Daphnia pulex: one gene and its partners. The main gene of each other region encodes a partner of the protein of the gene in region 3 in a complex. Links are inferred from orthologs where the notes say so. Each region holds a gene or a part of one and is shown on either strand. Other genes may lie near its edges.

Region 1 (2,886 bases), on a different chromosome or scaffold from region 3:
TCCACTTATTCTGTTTCTTTGTTGTGATCCGGTCAAAGGCAAGTTTCGTTTTGCTATTTGACCTGCTTTTTATTTATTTATTTTTCTTTTGCTGTGTCTTCTGTTGAATCATTTGTTATTATATTAATCAACCTTTTTTTGTTCTTTTAAACAAAACAGGCGGATCAGATTTGTTACGCTGTTCTCTGCGTGTTTTCTTACGTGGCCGCCGGAAGCGAACAGCGTAAAAAGGTTGAGCCGACTTGAAAGCTCATCATCAATCGACCAAGCAACACACACCGGACATCACTTGATTCGCTTGTTACTTTTAGTTGTTGTACTTAAATGATTACTCGTTCGTTTTGTCGTACGAGTCGTCGCAATAATAATTATCTAGTCATGGTACGGTTCATCAAGAAATTTGAACCAACAGCAGTTGACAAATTTGCGTTCGAACATTCACTGTTAGTATTTGTAATTAATGAATATAAAGTTGTTTTACCCTATTGATCATATCATTTGAGCGATTGTGACTTGCGTGTAGCTATCGTGACGTGCTTATCATTGTTTTCGGGCAAGCCAACGCTATAGCTTTCAAACTCCGATTTAGAAGAAAATATTTGAAAGAATGAATAATAATAAACCAAAATTCACTCATTGAATGGAATTTTATTTATACTCTCGAAAGAAGCAGAAAAAATTCGAAATAAATCGACGTGACAAGAAGGTTTCTCAAAGTAAGGGCATCATTCCAGGTGGGTTACTGTTTGAATTTGTAGTACCGATTGAGGCTGATGCTCCTGGGTGTTCTGGACTGTGCTTCTGTTTCTTTTTCTTCTTCTCCTTCTTCTTCTTCTTGCGATCTTTCTCATCTTCGTGTCGCTTTTGTTTCTTATGCTTTTTTTCGTAGGATTCACCGCCCGAACCGGCTCCTCCCTCTCCTACTACTCCAATGCCCGGTCCAGCGATTCCAGCTCCAGTTTCTTGAATTGAGATCTCGCTACTCTTTTTGTGTTTCTTGTGTTTCTGTTTTTTCTTCAGTGGGGCCAGGGAAGAGGTTTGATACTGCTCAGGCAACTATGAAATAAAGATGTGAAAATTAAAATAACAATTATGTGATTTGCTGTCTAAAAGTCTCTTACTGGTCCTGGATGAAGACGGAATCCTGCAAGTTGAGAGGAATTCAAGAATACCAACTCCTTGCCACCGATTGGAGGTTTTTCAATGATGGATCTTAAGGATGAATTGTCTGTGTTACCAGGAGTATCAATCATGCCGGGTAATCCAGGTAAGAATGAAGATAGCGAATCTTTGAACTTTTTGCCACTGAATTTGTTGTATGAATGTTCCAAATTGTAGTGAGCCATTAAATTTGTTGCTCCGGTTAGGTCAGTATCTCCTGCGATAGATTTACCTTGAGTGAAAGAATGATACAGTCACGTAAAATATGTATACCTGGCAGTTCCTTGTGAAGATAAAATGGTCCGGTATGAACAATTGTTGGGGTCTTTCCAAGTGATATGGTGGTTTTCAGTGTTCCAGTGGAATCTTGTTGCCTGGGAACAACTGGGCTTCGATTTCCTCTTGGAGAAGATCTTGGAGAATTCGGCTCAAATCTCCGAAGAGAATCGGCCACTTGGATGGTGAATGATTCCGACATTTTTTGTCAAAAACTTTTACCCTTTTTACTCGTTAGTATGAGGTCATCGCTTGTAAAATCTCCGTATCCGACTAGACTGACCTTGGTCGAATCCGATATATCGTAGTAATTATAGATATTAATAAATTATTCAGGCAAATGTTGGATGCCAAAAATGACAATTGACAGAGTAAACACAGCAGCGAAAAAGCATAACGAAACACCAGCGCCACCTGTACCCAAAAGATATAACTAGATGCTCCTCTATGCAAATATTTTTGCCCGAGGACTTGAATTGGCCAAGTTGGCGAGAGCACGCTTTCAAAAGTCAAAAAGTCACACGAGGTTTAGACTCAGTGGCAGTTGCTAGGGTAGATAGTTTTGTGTCCGCCTCGTGTGATTTAATGGTGAGTTTAATCACAATTTTTTTCAATTTCCGTCTGGTAATAGTATCAAACTGTTGATGTATATTTTATTATTCATGTTATCAAAAAATATCTATCTAGCCAGAGGTCGAATTCAACTTTCGAATTCGAGTTCGGCGTCCTTCAATAGTCTCAAGAAAAGTCAGAAAACTGGCTGAAGGCAGAGGCTGTTTTTTAAAAAATCCTTATCTCATACTCCCTAGTGTATTGTAGAGGGTTTTTTAAAGGCCAGACTCAGCTTTTCCAACCCAGTAACCCAGCCCTTTTTTTGTCTGTCTCAGAATTGACCCTAGGGGCGTTGATGAAAGGACCGGGTCGTCACCCTTAAAATATAGTCGTCCTCTTTATTCTGGAACCACAAGTCGTGATGTTACGAGGATAGAAAACCTACCTTCGCAACCGTGATAATAAGAACTCTGTTTCTCCAAAGGTAATTATTTGTATAACCTAGGCTTATTTCCTTTTAAATATACAATACAATTCGTATCTTTTCTTTACCTAGATCGTTCATTCCGTTTTGTTCGTTACACGTTAGTAAAATTATAATTCTCAACATGGATGGAGTCACAGCTTATGGCCTTTTGAGGAAATTCCAGCAATTGCAAGAGGAAAGGGTCCACACCTACAAGATTTTTCATGAGTGAGTTACAATGTTATTTAAAAAATTTCACATGAGGTAATTTTTGCATGTATTGTTTCTTTCCAGAGGGCATAAGATTTATCTGAGCACTGGACCAAATTATGACTTTATCCAGTTTCGTACACTTGTTCAAGACATAACTCAAGACTTTAAGCGAATCTCAGAAGAAATAATTAAAATTGAGTGCCAATTGAGAAACATGC
Region 2 (2,185 bases), on a different chromosome or scaffold from region 3:
TAATCGCTGAACGCAGACACTGTTGTTGCATCAAAAAAGGGTTGGGGAGGGAGAGAGAAAAAAAAAGGAAGTGGGGAGACTGAACGCCACCCACTTCCAACCCCCTTTATTTTTCCCCCTTCTTACCGAACGACCGGAGATCGCCGAAAGGGGTCGGAGAAGATGGCAGCACTATATTTATACACACGGGAGAATTTTTTCTACTTCTTCTTTTTTAAAAAATAAAAAGCTAAACAACATTCTATCGTTTTTTTTTTCTCCTCCTCCCGCTCCCCCCTCCTCTTTTTTTTTGTTGCACGCCATTCCTAAACAAACGGACCGCGTGTTCTTTCTCTTCTTACGAGTGAACAGCAACTTCTCTCCCCCCTTCTTTCCATTTTGGGTTTTCTAAAGGAAGACAAAAAAAGAAGTGGATATATAAAAGGTTGGAATCCTTTTCAAACAGTTTCTTTTACAATCTGTCACCCCATCTTCCTTCCTTCCTGAAATGACTTGCCTCACCTGTGTGTGACAAGAATGTTCACTCAATATGATTTTGAAAAGAACAGATTTAAAATTGATGTTGTGGCGGAAACCAGAAATGAAACGAAATTCTTGCAGAGCAAATTGTTTGTTTCATTTTCTTCTTTTAAATATCAAAAATAGGGAACTAGAGCAAATAATGGTTGGATTTAGGAATTTGGACCTGTGCTCTGCATGGCCAGTTGGGTCTGTGCAATGTCGTGAAGTGCATTCTGAATTTTCTCGAGCATCAGCTCTCCTTCGCTGACAACCTCCCTCAATCGTGCAGCGGCACTTTCATTTTCATTCTCCAGCCTTCTGAGACTTGCAATCTGCAGCGATTGAATTAATTTTAGTCAACTTCGTAGAACATTGCACCGACAGAATACTAATAGAACCAAGTTTATACCTGCAGTTCGGAGGTAGAATCTTCACTGGGTAGTGAATCGATTAGGACGTCAATATCTTTGGCGCAGCGGGCAATCAATGTGGCAAAAAGAGAAGCGTGATCTTCTTGTTGTTGTTGAGGTGTTCGATTGCCTGCTCGATCGAAACCTGGGAATGTAGCCGGTGGGGCGGTTTGTTGCAAAATACCGATGGCATTGCAGAAATTATCAGCTTGCTAGAAACAGAGAATTAAACCACGAATTTGAGACGATACACTTGGCAATTTCGTCAATGCAATCAGTTATAAATACCGCATTTATAGCGTCTTGGAGTTGTGTCAAACGATCAGCCATTGTTGATGGAAATGCAGAGATGAGAAAAGCAGATGTGCCGGCTATTACGCCACCTAGCGATGAATCTGATAACTTCAATGCCAAATTTAAACATTCACAACCTGTATTGTGAAATTAATTCTACATTCTGATGATTACAGGAACTGGGCAGTAATTTACCGATCTGCATATATAATTTGTTAAAACAACAATTCAAGCTAAATATAATGCGTTATCTGATTCCCGTAACAGGCACTAAAACAAAATACTAGAACGTGATCCTGAACACATTACAGTTTAAAATTTTGTTTTCCTTCAACTAAGTAAATTTGGCTATTGCTATTAGTCAATTGATGGATAGATTCCAGGCAGTTGATTGCGGGATTATCGCCATCGGCAATCGCCATTAACTGTGTAGCAAAGATTTTCCCAACTTCGAAGGCAAGCGGATGAGTCGCATATTCTTTCAGCTAAAATATTTAAAATTCAATTACACAGACTAGGAATAATTGAAAATGTTGACATTTAGAAAACTAACCGGCATCCAACAAGCGTCGCTGAGCTCACGAGGACACATTTTGATTTCTGTGCTACCTTCAACAGGTCTGAGATAAGTCACGAAATAAATGTCTGAACAGCCGAACCTTGCACTGGGATTCTTCTCTCTTGATTGCAAATGCCGCACGGCAACGAGTGAAACGAACTCTGTCTTAATACCAGTCTCCTCAAACACCTCCCTCTTGACAGCAGTAGCAATACTTTCCCCTGTAAATTTAATAATTGGTAATGATTGAATGTTAATGATGTCTAAATATACATACCTGGATCTACATAACCACCAGGGAGTTTCCAGTGTGGTCTTTTGTAATACCTTTCCTGAACCACAAGAATCTCATTCTTATCATTGACAACCATGGCTCCAGCGCCTACCATTGTGTGTGCATAACTAGGCACTTGACAAGGTT
Region 3 (3,765 bases):
CAAGCTTCGTGCCATCGAACGCTCCTATGAATAGAAATGGGCTTATTATTTTTCAAGAAAAAAATGGCGAGATTATTTTACCCTGATCTAAGGTCACTCTCTCCAGATGTCAAGGCTTTCAATAACTGATCAGTCAACATGGGATCGCAGCGACTTAATGACAAATCAGGCGCCTGATTAGGTTTCAGCCATTCTGAAGCCCACTGCTCAAAGAAAGTCTCCCCTCCTAGTTCACCACTCAGTATCACCTATCGATCATTAGAACAAGTAACATCAGAAGGCATTCAGGTGTGAATTATTAGATGATTTTCATTACCTCAATGCCGTACATTTGCGTAATACGGCAGAGCATTAGAAATGAGATGTCAAAGAGTAGAGCCCTTGCATTTGCAGTTTTACTTGGATCGGAACCAGCAGGTTGGCGATTCGCTTCGTTAAATCGCACGAGTTTTGTGGCAAAAGCTCGGAGTTTACCAGTCCCAGTTGCAGCGTTCAGTATGAGTTCGAAGCTTTGCCCCGAAAGCAAATGAGATAAAACTTTCAACAGCGTGTCCTAAAATGAAGATGTTATTACTTGCTCTACGTAATTCTCTACATTTTCCTTGATTACCTGATTTTTAGCGTAATCAGTATCCAACGTTTTCAGAATACTGGCCACCGTTGGCTCAGCACGAAGAACCAAAGTAGCTATTTGTGTGTTAGTGGTCTCTAACTTCAGACCTCCGCGGGATAGACTTTCTCTTTTGCTGAGGATGCTTGTAACATGCCATTCAGATAAAAGAGATGTCCGTATTTTCACTTCATTTAATAAACCTTCGACGACATTGCAATGGCATTTGGCATCGGTTGTTTCTAAAAGTCCAGGATAGCAAAGAAGGCGCTCAAACGCACCCGCGACTTCCGGACTTGGTTCTCCAATAGGCGAATTTGGATCCAATCCTGGATAAACGAGAATTTAATAGAACAGTTTGAAATTTTAAAATATTGCTAATCGTACCAAAAATTGATCGATGAAGTCGGAGTAGTAATGACGGTGCCTTGAGGAAAGTGAATACAGCCCAACGTAGCTCTCCAGGAGAATCAGCAGTTTCGGCTAGTCCTAGGCAACACGCTCTGAGGATTTCGCAATAGAGCTGGGTGGGTGAATAGCCTCTTAGTTTCTGTAGAACTTCCAACTGTCGAGTCAACTCAAGGCCATCTGACGTGGGGCGAAGCAACGCCTCCCAAGATATTAATGTATGTACGTCTGTGCACAATGAGTTCTCGTAAAAGGGCTTTTCGGGACCATTTTCTTTGAATAGATCATTTTCAAATGATCGGCATTGCCTGTGGAGAATTTGTTTTAATGACCACTCATTGACGAAGAACATCAAATGAAGTACCTCATGACTTTTTCGACAGATTCCACAAGTTTTTCTGATGACGGATTCCCATTAGTAGTTAAATTTTTCAGGTTGGACTCAGTTTGGTTTACAAGCGATGTAAGATGAGTTGCTGAAAACTGATCATTAGTGCAGCAACGTGCAATGTATAGAAGAGATATTAAATAGTTCTCTTCATACAAAGTCCCCAGTAATCCTGTAGTATAATGGCAAATGACTGAATAGTCATTGGTTGCACTATTATTATCAAATAGTTTTTTTAGTCCATCAGACGTAAGACTCCAAAGCCAAGTTTCCAAAGACAATAGAGAAGCAGCTAAAGCAGCAGGCCCATCGCCAGATCCAGTACATGAAATATGTTTCTAATAAATAATATTGTTAAAACCATATCTCAATTTAAGACTGAATGGGAAAAGTTACTATTGATTGCTCCACCAAAAGTAGTAACTCCAAAAGGCATCTGGTTTTCTGGATACTACCTTGAAGGCAGATATTTTCGAAAACAGCACTGTAGGAAACAATCTAAAACACACAAATGGTATGCAATTAAATATTAACAAGCAAAACAAAATGTGTTTAGTAATTGAATTAAAGTTGTGGTTTTACTTGAACATGTAATGAATGCTGTAGATATGACAACAACTTTGAATTTGGAGATGGTCCGATCAAAGCCTGCTGTAAAATGCTTTCTGCTAGATTATATGTATCTCCAGTTGATCCTGCTGGTATTACCTTTATGTAAAGAAAGTTTAATTTAAAACTGGTAAAGATATTTTTTTTTGTTACGAAATTACAGTTAAAGTACCTCTTTGACATATATCCCCCACATGAGATCTGTCCAACGTTCCCTCCAAGCCTTCCTCATCAAGTGCTTGAGCTTTTGCTCTACACTTTCAGTCATCCTCTCGATTATAGAAATTTCAAGCTTAATAACCTAAAACACAATTTAACAAACATATGTTGAAGTACGCCACAATTATTCGTTAAATTCTGAAGGTGAGGTGAAATTTTTGAGTTTGTGGTTTGTAGAGGAGCGTTCAAAGCAGACGACACGGTATACCATAAACACCCCAGCGGTGAAAAGTGGAACTACAAATCATTTTGACATTTTCGCGTGGAATTCAAACTACCAGCAGCAACGAATCGACCAATTAGTGTTTTACGTGCTTAACAAACGATCCCCCACTTGAAGGCCAATCCGTGTTCGGTGTTTTCAGAACCAAATCAATTTGACAATTTTAGTATAAAACAAAATAAATCTATGTTAAAACTTTTAGTTTTAACATCGGTTTACGTAACAGAAAGAATTTGGTCGCGGTTAAATGGTACACGAATTTTGTATGTATTTACGGATAGCTTTCATAACATGTGCACAAGAAATTTACCAATAGAATTTGCAGTGACAGGGATAAATTGTATTTATTATATAAAGTACTATATAGTTGCAAGAGGAAGGTCGGAATGAGATTGCTTGTTAGTTGTGACGAATTAAACGGGTTGATCAAACCCGTTGCCGACGTCTCGTCGGTCTCCAGAAAAATCCCCACTTCCCATGCCAAAGTGTCGATCTTCGGAATTATCTCCACTACCGGCTTGATGATGATCTAACGAATCTCCACTTCCAACTTCTTGAGATGATTCATATTCGTCTGTTAGAGGAACAGAATTCACGTTCAACGAAGTCTTTTCCGTACTTGAAGGCTCAAATCCGCTGCCGCTGCTGTCCGTATTTGTTGTAGCTATTCATGTTTAATCAAAATAATTTCAGCCATGACCGTCCGTGTATGCGATGATCAAAATATTACGACTACACCTGGTGGTACTGGTAAAAAGTCACGTTCATCGATTTCCGTATCATCACTCTCGGGTAAATCAGAAGCGATAGAACTCATTTTCTTTTCCATATCCTCATATTTTTCTATCTCCATGTGAGTACCATGGTCTTTTCTAGCTTCCGCTTCTGCCTGTTGACTGCAAAAATAGATTTTTTAAATTTTATTTAAAAATAAATAAGAATGTAAAGACTGAAGAAATTGAGAAAGTAGAACAATCTCCGATTTCTCCTCTTGTTGGATATTTATACTGTGCATGTACCGGTCATTATATGATGAGATGAGAAGCCCGACAATGGTCACGGTGATGATAACAATAGCTAAAATAAGGGCCAGTGTCAGCAATACGATTCTTCTTCTCAAGAACATCCTGGTTGGTGTTGAGTTACTATTTAAGGTAGGCTGGTTCTCGTGGACTATAATTAACAAAAAAAAAAAAAATGGCGTGAGATGTCGTGCTCAACTGCGTTGGAAAATGACATGAATCAATCGACACTTTTATTTTGAATTGTGCGTCATTATTACGGTACTATTTTTTGTGTTTTAGTTTG

The links.
Region 1: mediator of RNA polymerase II transcription subunit 24-like (region 3) and mediator of RNA polymerase II transcription subunit 19-like share a complex: the UniProt entries of both Drosophila melanogaster proteins name them as parts of the mediator complex. The link is inferred for Daphnia pulex from reciprocal best matches to the Drosophila melanogaster genes MED24 and MED19.
Region 2: mediator of RNA polymerase II transcription subunit 24-like (region 3) and mediator of RNA polymerase II transcription subunit 21-like share a complex: the UniProt entries of both Drosophila melanogaster proteins name them as parts of the mediator complex. The link is inferred for Daphnia pulex from reciprocal best matches to the Drosophila melanogaster genes MED24 and MED21.

What each region holds. Positions count from the first base shown.
Region 1 is NC_060023.1:10,280,609-10,283,494, reverse strand, and holds mediator of RNA polymerase II transcription subunit 19-like, read right to left. Parts: upstream 1,857-2,886; 5' UTR 1,640-1,856; coding exon 1,435-1,639; intron 1,394-1,434; coding exon 1,122-1,393; intron 1,057-1,121; coding exon 712-1,056; 3' UTR 629-711; downstream 1-628. Other genes in the region: MAP kinase-activating death domain protein-like, read left to right, coding at 160-246; required for excision 1-B domain-containing protein-like, read left to right, coding at 2,598-2,683, 2,750-2,886. UniProt on the Drosophila melanogaster protein: Component of the Mediator complex, a coactivator involved in the regulated transcription of nearly all RNA polymerase II-dependent genes.
Region 2 is NC_060027.1:1,946,043-1,948,227, forward strand, and holds mediator of RNA polymerase II transcription subunit 21-like, read right to left. Parts: upstream 1,335-2,185; 5' UTR 1,242-1,334; coding exon 1,200-1,241; intron 1,124-1,199; coding exon 911-1,123; intron 834-910; coding exon 672-833; 3' UTR 595-671; downstream 1-594. Other genes in the region: nudix hydrolase 8-like, read right to left, coding at 1,511-1,690, 1,759-1,985, 2,042-2,185. UniProt on the Drosophila melanogaster protein: Component of the Mediator complex, a coactivator involved in the regulated transcription of nearly all RNA polymerase II-dependent genes.
Region 3 is NC_060019.1:9,367,000-9,370,764, forward strand, and holds the start of mediator of RNA polymerase II transcription subunit 24-like, read right to left. Parts: upstream 2,476-3,765; 5' UTR 2,284-2,475; coding exon 2,188-2,283; intron 2,115-2,187; coding exon 1,989-2,114; intron 1,905-1,988; coding exon 1,803-1,904; intron 1,745-1,802; coding exon 1,383-1,744; intron 1,327-1,382; coding exon 998-1,326; intron 940-997; coding exon 611-939; intron 554-610; coding exon 317-553; intron 249-316; coding exon 82-248; intron 25-81; coding exon 1-24. UniProt on the Drosophila melanogaster protein: Component of the Mediator complex, a coactivator involved in the regulated transcription of nearly all RNA polymerase II-dependent genes.